2 linked regions of the Callithrix jacchus genome follow. The protein of the gene in region 2 interacts with the protein of the main gene of each other region in a biochemical or structural test. Links are inferred from orthologs where the notes say so. Each region holds a gene or a part of one and is shown on either strand. Other genes may lie near its edges. The genes, in order: S100A4 and AREG.

Region 1 (4,260 bases), on a different chromosome or scaffold from region 2:
CCGCCCCACTGATAGATGCCCTCTGTAGCTAATTCTCTATAGCAGGACTGCTGCCTCCTCTGTGGGAAATCGCCCATGTGGGGGCACACTCAGGCACTACCCACTCACCCTCAAGAAGCTGGGCAGCTCCTGGGTCAGCAGCTCCTTTAGCTCTGACTTGTTGAGCTTGAACTTGTCACCCTCTTTGCCTGAGTACTTGTGGAAGGTGGACACCATCACATCCAGGGCCTTCTCCAGGGGGCACGCCATGACAGCCGTCAGGATCTGGGGGCAGGAGGCACAGAGACCCTCTTATTTACCCCACCCCCCAGCGATGCACTCACATCCCTTGCTGGGAGCACTTGGTGAGACTCTGCTCCCTCCCTGGGGGGGCTCAGAGCAGCGGGCCCAGCACCTGGTGGGAGGGTGTGGGGAACACATGCTCCGGGCGGTGAACAGTGGATGTTTGCAGGACCCTCTGCACAGGCTCTGGAGATTCAGGCAGCAAGCTCCCAGGCCTCTCCTCAACAACAGCATTTTTTCCACCCCTCACTCAGTCAATCCACTCCCACAGCTCAGCCACAAAGGCCCCGCCCTGGCCATTCTTCTCCCTCCCAGCAATGGGCGAGGCTGCTGGAGGCCTGCCCAGGGCCCTGCAGCGGAAAAAACCAGCCGCTTAGCGCTCAGCCTAGGGAGGGGCAGAGTGAGGTGGCAGAGTCAAGGGTTGGAGGAGAAGGTGCAGAGGCCATGCTCTCGACCTGGGCTGCTGGGTGCAGGGCAGAGGCTCCTGGCGCACACCACCAGACAAACACCCACAGTTCCCTTCTGCCTTTGCTTTGCTTCCTGCACCCGAGCATGCAACCCAGCAAGCGTGAGCCAGTGCATATACCCACGGGCACATATACACCGACACACACTAGAGCAACAGCACATGCAAGCCGCATCTCAGAAGCACCTGGAGAGCTCAAAGCCAGCCACTTGCTCGCTTTTCTGTTTGTTTTTTCCTCCCTCTTACATGCACGTGTGTGTGTGCACATGCACACCCACGCACACACCCACACACACACACTCTATCCAGAGCTTCCACATCAGAATCTCACATCTGGATCTGTTTAGCACATCTCGCCCCCACCCACCTCCCCTTCTCCTGCCCCAGCCCTGGCCTCTGACACCCCTTGCATGCCAGTCAGGCCAACACAACTCACCAGGCCAAGGGAGAAGAAGTGGAGGAGAGAGGGTTGTAGAGAGCGGAAGAACGGGGACGGCCCAGCAGTCTGACCTATTTATACCCCCGCCAGGCCCTGCCCATAGCAGGGGATGGGGGAGAGCAGATACTGCCCTCCTACTGTGGGCTGACATGGTAAGGGCCACAGCACCGTCCACCAGCCCAGCCTTGGAACCAAGCTTCTTGTCCCCAGGTGGGCCCCTGTGGGCAAGGGGTAAGCCCCAATGGTTACCACCAGCAGAGACCTGGATGTGATACACACTACCCAGTGTACATAGCCTGAGTTTTAGAGAGGTGGAGGAAGGGCAGCCTGTGCCTAGAGCATTGGCGACAGGGAGAGAGTAGTCTCCCCTCTTTTTTTGAGATGGAGTTTCACTCTTGTTACCCAGGCTAGAGTACAATGGCCTGATCTCGGCTCCCTGCAACCTCCGCCTCCCAAGTTCAAGTGATTCTCCTGCCTCAGCCTCCCAAGTAGCTGGGATTACAGGCATGTCCCAGCACACCCAGCCAATTTTGTATTTTTAGTAGAGACCGCATTTCACCATGTTGGCCAGGCTGGTCTTGAACTCTGGACCTCAGGTGATCCACCCGCCTCGGCCTCTCAAAGTGCTGGGATTACAGGTGTGAACCATCGCGCCCAGCCAAAAAAGTTTTTTTAATTAGCTAGACAGCGTGGCTGGAGCCTGTAGTCCCAGCTAGTCAGGAAGCTAAAACAGGAGGATCATTTGAGCCCAGGAATTTGAGACTGCAGTGAACTATGCTCAAGCCACTGCTCTCCAGCCTGGGCAACACAGCGAGACCTTGTCTCTTAAAAAAAATGAAGATTAAGGCCCGGCGCGGTGGCTCATACCTGTAATCCCAGCACTTTAGGAGGCCGAGGCGGGTGGATCATGAGGTCAGGAGTTCAAGACCAGCCTGGCCAAGATGGTGAAATCCCATCTCTAGTAAAAATTACAAAAAATTAGCCGGGTGTGGTGGCAGACGCCTGTAATCCCAGCTACTCAGGAGGCTGAGGCAGGAGAATTGCTTGAATCTGGGAAGTGGGGGTTGCAGTGAGCCGAGATCATGCCACTGCACTCCAGGCTGGGTGGCAGAGGGAGACTCTGTCTCAAAAAGTAAATAAATAAAGATTAAAAAACAAAAATGGGGGAGGGGATCCCCAGGCCCAGTACTGTCTGCCATGCCAAGTAAGGCCCAGGGCCGGAGCTGGGGGGTCTGGAGGGGAAGAGGTTCATACACAAAAGAGGCTCTGGGACCACCTCATAAATGTCAATGGGAAAGGTTCTGGGTGAGGTAGTGATGGAATGGGTGGCAATGAGGCGTGGGGTCTCATGGATAGACCCCAGGTTCGGAGAAGCTATCGGGGGTGCCATTTAAAGTTGGGGTGAGTGTCGGGAATGAAGAATCCAGGTTGGGGTGGAGAGTGAGAGGCGAAATGGCACAAAATAGGGAAGTCAGGATTTGGGTCGACCTCTCAGGGTGGGCTGCAAGCTCAGTGAGGGTTAGAAGTAGGGGGTTAAGGCCCTCAGGGGGCTGTGGCTTCAGGGATGGGGACTGCCTCAAGATACCCCCTGCCCCCTCCACACCGGCACCCCGCCCTGGCTGGGAGTAAACACCTCAAACACTCTAATCCCATTAGTGCTGCTCTCTGGGCTCCCACAGCCCGCGGCAGGGAACTAACAGCCCCACCCCACCCTCACCCCACCCTCGTCATATCACCTGATCAAGAGCACTGAGTCCCAGGAGAAACTTAGGCGGCCCTCTCTCAAAGACCCCCAGAGAAAGAGAGAGGAAGGGAGGACGGGGGTCCCAGTGTTGGCCCCACGCCCTCCTGCTGGACTCTGGAGGCCACGGCATTTCTGCAGGGTCTGAAACGTCCCTGGGGGAGCCTCCTGCTCCTGCCCTCAGCTGCCCTCCTGCAGTGGAAAAGTCCAGAGAGGAGCAAAGAGCTCAGCAGACGCGTCCCCGGAGAAGAACCAAACAAAGCCAAGCTGATGCCAGCCTTTTATTAGGAGTTAAATAGGCCCCTTCCCATCGAGGTCTCACTGGGGTCTCAGAGCAGATCCCGCCTCCTCCCAACCACAGGGGAGGCAGTAGGGGTGCGGCGGGCAGGCTGGGGCCCAGAGTGGCTCTACCCCTCCCTCGCTGGGCATCCTGGGTAAAATGGGTTAACTGATCACGGAAGACCTTGGCAAGTCCAGATTGGAAGGGGTGCAGGAGAGAGGGTGGGGGAGTAGTAGCGGAGGCTACTGGGGGCAGGGGGGCTCTGGGGCGCAGTCCTTGAAGTACTCGTGGCAGTAGAGACAGAGACAGGCCAGTGAGCGCACGTACTCCACAAAGTCCACCTCGCAGTCCTTGTCGGTGTCCAGAACACTCATGAATTTGTTGTAGTCACACTCCCGAAACTCGGTCTGTGCAAGGGAGGGGTGGGGAAGGGTGGGGGAGCAGGATGAGGAGGGCAGAACAGCCTCGCACGCCACTGCCCTCCCTCCTCTCCCAAGCGGACCCACCCCACCCCAAACTACACCCTTCCGAGGGCCGACTTCAACCTACCTGTTCCAGTAATGCACCCATTGCGATCCCCTCCCAAATCCACCCTCTCAGATTGTCAATTGAGCACCTACTATCTGCTACTGAGTGCCTACTACGCATTAGGCATTCTTCATGGTGCTCTCGCTCAGTCCTCTCACAACCCTGCAAGGCAGCAGGTGTGATGATTGTCCTTCCATTTTACAGGTGAGGAAGCTGAGGCTTCTGCTACTCCCTCCTTCCAGTCCAGCCTCCTCCCCTTGTGGACCTGTGCTCCGGCTTGTCCCCACGACTCTCTTTGCAGAGTCCAGGCCTTACCTCCTGCCGGGTGAGGAGGGTACGGACACTCTGCGTACTCACCGGGGTCCAGGTGGGCAGCTCCTTCTGCAGCAGCTCCTTGAGCTCAGCCTGGCAGAGCTTGTGTTTGTCCCCACAGCGCCCGGCATACTCCTGGAAGGTGCACACGATGGCAGCTACCGCCTGCTCCAGAGGCCTGGCCATCCTCACTGTCACAGAACAAGGGCGTG
Region 2 (4,339 bases):
ACAAACTATAGACAGAGACAAATAATAAAAAGTCACTATGCTGAAGTGTTGCAATAAACACTAACATCATAGACATTTAACTTAGCCTTTCAAAGGTGTTCAACCAACATTTTCACTCTATTTCACAATGCATTGCAATTTTGAACATTAGTCACTTGTACTACTAATCATTTACTTGGCCTTCTGAAGTGTTAACAACTTGAAACATGTTTAAGAGAACAGTTTCTAGAGACCTTGATGGTCTAATCTTATGCCTTCAAAAATAAGCATTAATGAACCCCTTCCCACCTCACAGAAAGACACACTTTCAGAAGGAAGAGAGAGAAGTGGAGTGTTTCCTAAATGTTTACTCACCTCCCACTTACCCCAGTCACTATCCCTGTGATACCACTTGATGTCCCTTCACTAGTTCTGAGAGCCTCCAAGTTGGGAAAGAAAAGACCTTCAAGACCTCTGAAACCATCTTTCCCTGCCTCTGTAGTGGATGCGCCTAGGATATTTACATCTTATTTATTGTTAACCTATGCTTCCTTCAAATTCCAAAGTATGTACTATTTATCTCTTATTTCTTTACTTTCACTTCAAGCAAAGGACCTTTTTAAAATATGAAATAACAGGAAAGTGAATGAAACCATAGGTCATGAATATCTAACCAACAAATGGTATTTGGGGTTGGTTAAATGGTGATTTTAGCAATACAAAATCTATGAATATTCACCCTTCTTTAATATTTCCAGATGGTATTATTATCATTATTCCATCAGTTTCTCATCACCTACTACTTAAATGCTAAAGTCTAATGCCTCCTGTCCCATTACTTCCTCTGTTCCCTTATTTGTGTTAAAATGCAGTTTATCTAGGGAAGGAGGGTGTTGGGGAAAGGGATTCAAAAACTATGATACAAAGTAGACAATGTCTAAATTTGTCTCTCAGGATGGGGGTCAAGTAGCACAGTGGGAAAGAGCTTAGTGTCTCTTCTGCATAGAATCAAACAAACTGGAGCTCTAATTCTAGCTCACCTGCTTGTTACCTGTGGAAACTAGAACAAAAGAACCTTTTTGAGCTTCAGTTATCACATCGGTAAAATGAGGATAACAATTCCTAAAGTCATTGTGAAGATTAGGTTTAAAAATGGGACATAAACCATCTATGATCACTCTGGTCCTATAGGATGTGCCCACATTGTGGTTCTTTTTGTCTCAGTGTACCTAGGGAGTATGCAACAGATGCATGTAAAATAAAGCTAGTAGAAAATTTGGGGAGGAGCTTTTCTTCTGAAGCAACTTTGCTCATTAAACCTACATCTCATAGGCTAAATTTTTGCTTTATCCTCTACTCACCTCTGACTGAATCATCTACAATATAGCCAGGTATTTGTGGTTCATTATCATACTCTTCTGAATAGTCATCGTCGGTTCCCGACGACAGTTCACTACTAGAAGACATTTCACTCTCAGGTGAAAGCTCACTTCTTGAAGACATCTCACTTCTGGAGGTAACCTCAAATCCATCAGCACTTTGGTCCCCAGGAAATGGTTCACTCTTCCTAGAGTAGGTGTCATTGAGGTCCAATCCAGCAGCATAATGGCCTGCAGGGGAGGGAAGAAGGGAAGAAAAGAAAAGGTAGAGTGCCTTTCTCTCCAGTCAGCTGTGTTAGGTAGAAATGTTTATCTTTTGACATCAAAGCAGTGATTGCACATGTGCTATTGTTTGTGATTGAGTCACTTCTGTGAAAGAAACTTCACATTTTTGCCAGCAAGCAAATTCAGCTGTCCCAATTACAGAGCTGCTTTTATGATATTTTTCTTCTCCACAGATATTAATTTCCACATCAAAAAATCCTGCCAAATTGGCAAATTAATCTAATACAATTACTTAATAGGTAATGTCTAAATAGTCTCATCACTTCACATTCCAAATGCATTTTGTTTGCTAGAATGCCATCCTGGCCTGTTTCAATAGGTTCTAGATGTAAATATCAGATTTTCTTAATATGTGTTCATATTTTTAAAAGATCATGTACATAAAACGTAAACATATATAAACAGTAATTATATCTATTATTGCCATTTTTCATTATTGTTACTACATAGAGAATAAATTGAATACTAAGTAAGATTTTGAGCCCAGAGTTAAGCCACTGCTTTATCTTGCATTTTCTTTTAGAGCTCAATAAAACAGCATCAGAGTGGAGCTTTTAACCTCCCGCCGGGACACTCCCTCTGAGAAAGTAAAGATGAAATCACTAGACGGAGGAGATGGAGAATTAAGTAGGAGGCAGCAAAGGCTGCTGCGCCCGAGATCTGCGGAAATCACTTCACCTCTCTAGACCTTGATCTTTTCAACTGTGAAACCAAGGGTTCGGTTCAAACGATGTCTCCGCCTCCTCAGCTGGACTAGAGGAAAAAGTACAGAGATTCTCTGGGACATCTTGTCCTGGACGTCTGAGACGTCTTCCCTTTTCTCTTCCTCCTAGGGAGGGAGCTATAGCGATCACCTCCCGCGGCGCAGATTTGGAAAAGTAAAAGCCAAACTCAAGAGGCAACAGCTTTTGCCTGCTGTGGGAGAAGAGCCCGCAGTTAAGAGCGGGGGACCCTCACCTGAGCCGAGGATCAAGAGCGACAGCACCACCGGCACCGGCGGCAGCAGCGGGGCTCTCATTGGTCCTTCGGAGCGGCGGCGTCTAAGTCTCTGGGGCAAATCGGTCTCTGGGACCGGAGTTGCGGCGGAAAGGAACGGGTGTGGGAAGAGCGAGTGAAGACCGGGACTGTGCGCCGCGCTCCAAGGCTGCGGGAGTTCGGGGCTACGCACGCGGCGCCTCGGGCTCTCCCGGGGACTTCTGTGGCGCTGGCACCCCGGTGTGCGAACGTCCGTAGGGCGGTGCGCACCTGCCGCTTTATAATTCTCTTGCCTGTGACGTCAGGGCCGGGCCCTGGGTGGAAGCAGGCGGCGCCCCAGAAGGTGCTACCCGAAAACCACAGGAGGAGGACACGCGCCCCGCCTTCTCGTGCGTAAACAGTTCTCGGGGAGGGAGTGGTTCTTAAACCTCTAGCTGCGAGGAGCAAAAGAGCCCATCCGTATTTGAGGGCGGGCAGGATTGGAGTTCCTCAAAAAAAAAAAAAAAAAAAAAAAAGTCCCGACATTTCAAACTGACAAACCTCTTCGTGTACTTTGGTTGATTTCAACATCTACAACAGACAGGGATTAAATAGAATAGTTCCGTATTTAGCTGTAAAAGTACTTTAAGACCAAGAGTGAATTTGCAGTGATAGCCTGATGTTTCCAGCAAGGATAAAGGACGAGAGAGACCTCTTAATGAGGAACTGCTTCATGTAGGATGGGCCTCTATCTCAACCAAGGCCCCCTTTCCACCCATTTCTGTGAAGTGGCCAGAATTTCAAATTCCCTCGCTCCCCGTTTCTTTATGTGGCCCAGGGCCCTCATCAACATTAATATTTTTTGATGATTTATTATTGCCATACTATGCATTTAAAAGTTTACCTGCACCTATTGCTATATACTTTCCTCTAGAGACTGCTTTAAATGTGTCCCAGAGGTTCTGGCACGTTGTGTCATTGCAGCACTGTTTACAATAGCAAAGACCTGGAATCAACCCAAATGCCCATTGATAATAGACTGGATTGGAAAAATGTGGCACATATACACCATGGAATATTATGCAGCAATCAGAAATGATGAGTTTGTGTCGTTTGTAGGGACATGGATGAATCTGGAGAACATCATCCTCAGCAAACTGACACAAGAACAGAAAATGAAACACCGCATATTCTCACTCATAGGTGGGTGATGAAAAATGAGAACACATGGACACAGAAAGGGGAGTACTAAACACTGGGGTCTATTGGGGGGAAAAGGGGAGGGCCAGTGGGAGGGGGAGGTGGGGAGGGATAGCCTGGGGAGAAATGCCAAATGTGGGTGAAGGGGAGAAGAAAAGCAAAGCACACTGCCATGTGTGTACCTACGCAACTGTCTTGCATGCTCTGCTCATGTACCCCAAAACCTAAAATCCAATAAAAATTCAAAAAAAAAAAAAAAAGTTTACCTGCACCATCTCACAGCCAGCAGTGTTTAAAGCCAGGTGGATTTGAATCCTTTATCTAATTCTGAAATCTGCTGTTTTCCACTCTGTTCAAGGAAGGTAGGATTAAACTGATCTTTGAAAAGAGGGTTTCTGGGAAGAACAATACTTAGTCTAAAGGAACAATTTCTACTGGTGGCATACTGGCATTTGGGTGAAGGGTAGTGCTCAAGAGACTGTGCCTTTCAAATTCCAAGATGAAAATGTCAGCTAGTAGGATATTTAATCATGGCAAGCAGA

Evidence for each region.
Region 1: the proteins of AREG (region 2) and S100A4 form a complex in vitro, tested with the Homo sapiens proteins (2 studies listed by IntAct, with this or other methods). The link is inferred for Callithrix jacchus from reciprocal best matches to the Homo sapiens genes AREG and S100A4.

Annotation. Positions count from the first base shown.
Region 1 is NC_133519.1:13,957,407-13,961,666, forward strand, and holds the start of S100A4 (protein S100-A4), read right to left. Parts: upstream 3,075-4,260; 5' UTR 3,062-3,074; coding exon 2,924-3,061; intron 1,237-2,923; exon of another isoform or gene 395-1,236; intron 265-394; coding exon 109-264; intron 1-108. Other genes in the region: S100A3 (protein S100-A3), read right to left, coding at 3,451-3,615, 4,094-4,239. UniProt on the Homo sapiens protein: Calcium-binding protein that plays a role in various cellular processes including motility, angiogenesis, cell differentiation, apoptosis, and autophagy.
Region 2 is NC_133504.1:123,667,116-123,671,454, forward strand, and holds the start of AREG (amphiregulin), read right to left. Parts: upstream 2,873-4,339; 5' UTR 2,662-2,872; coding exon 2,601-2,661; intron 1,590-2,600; coding exon 1,341-1,589; intron 1-1,340.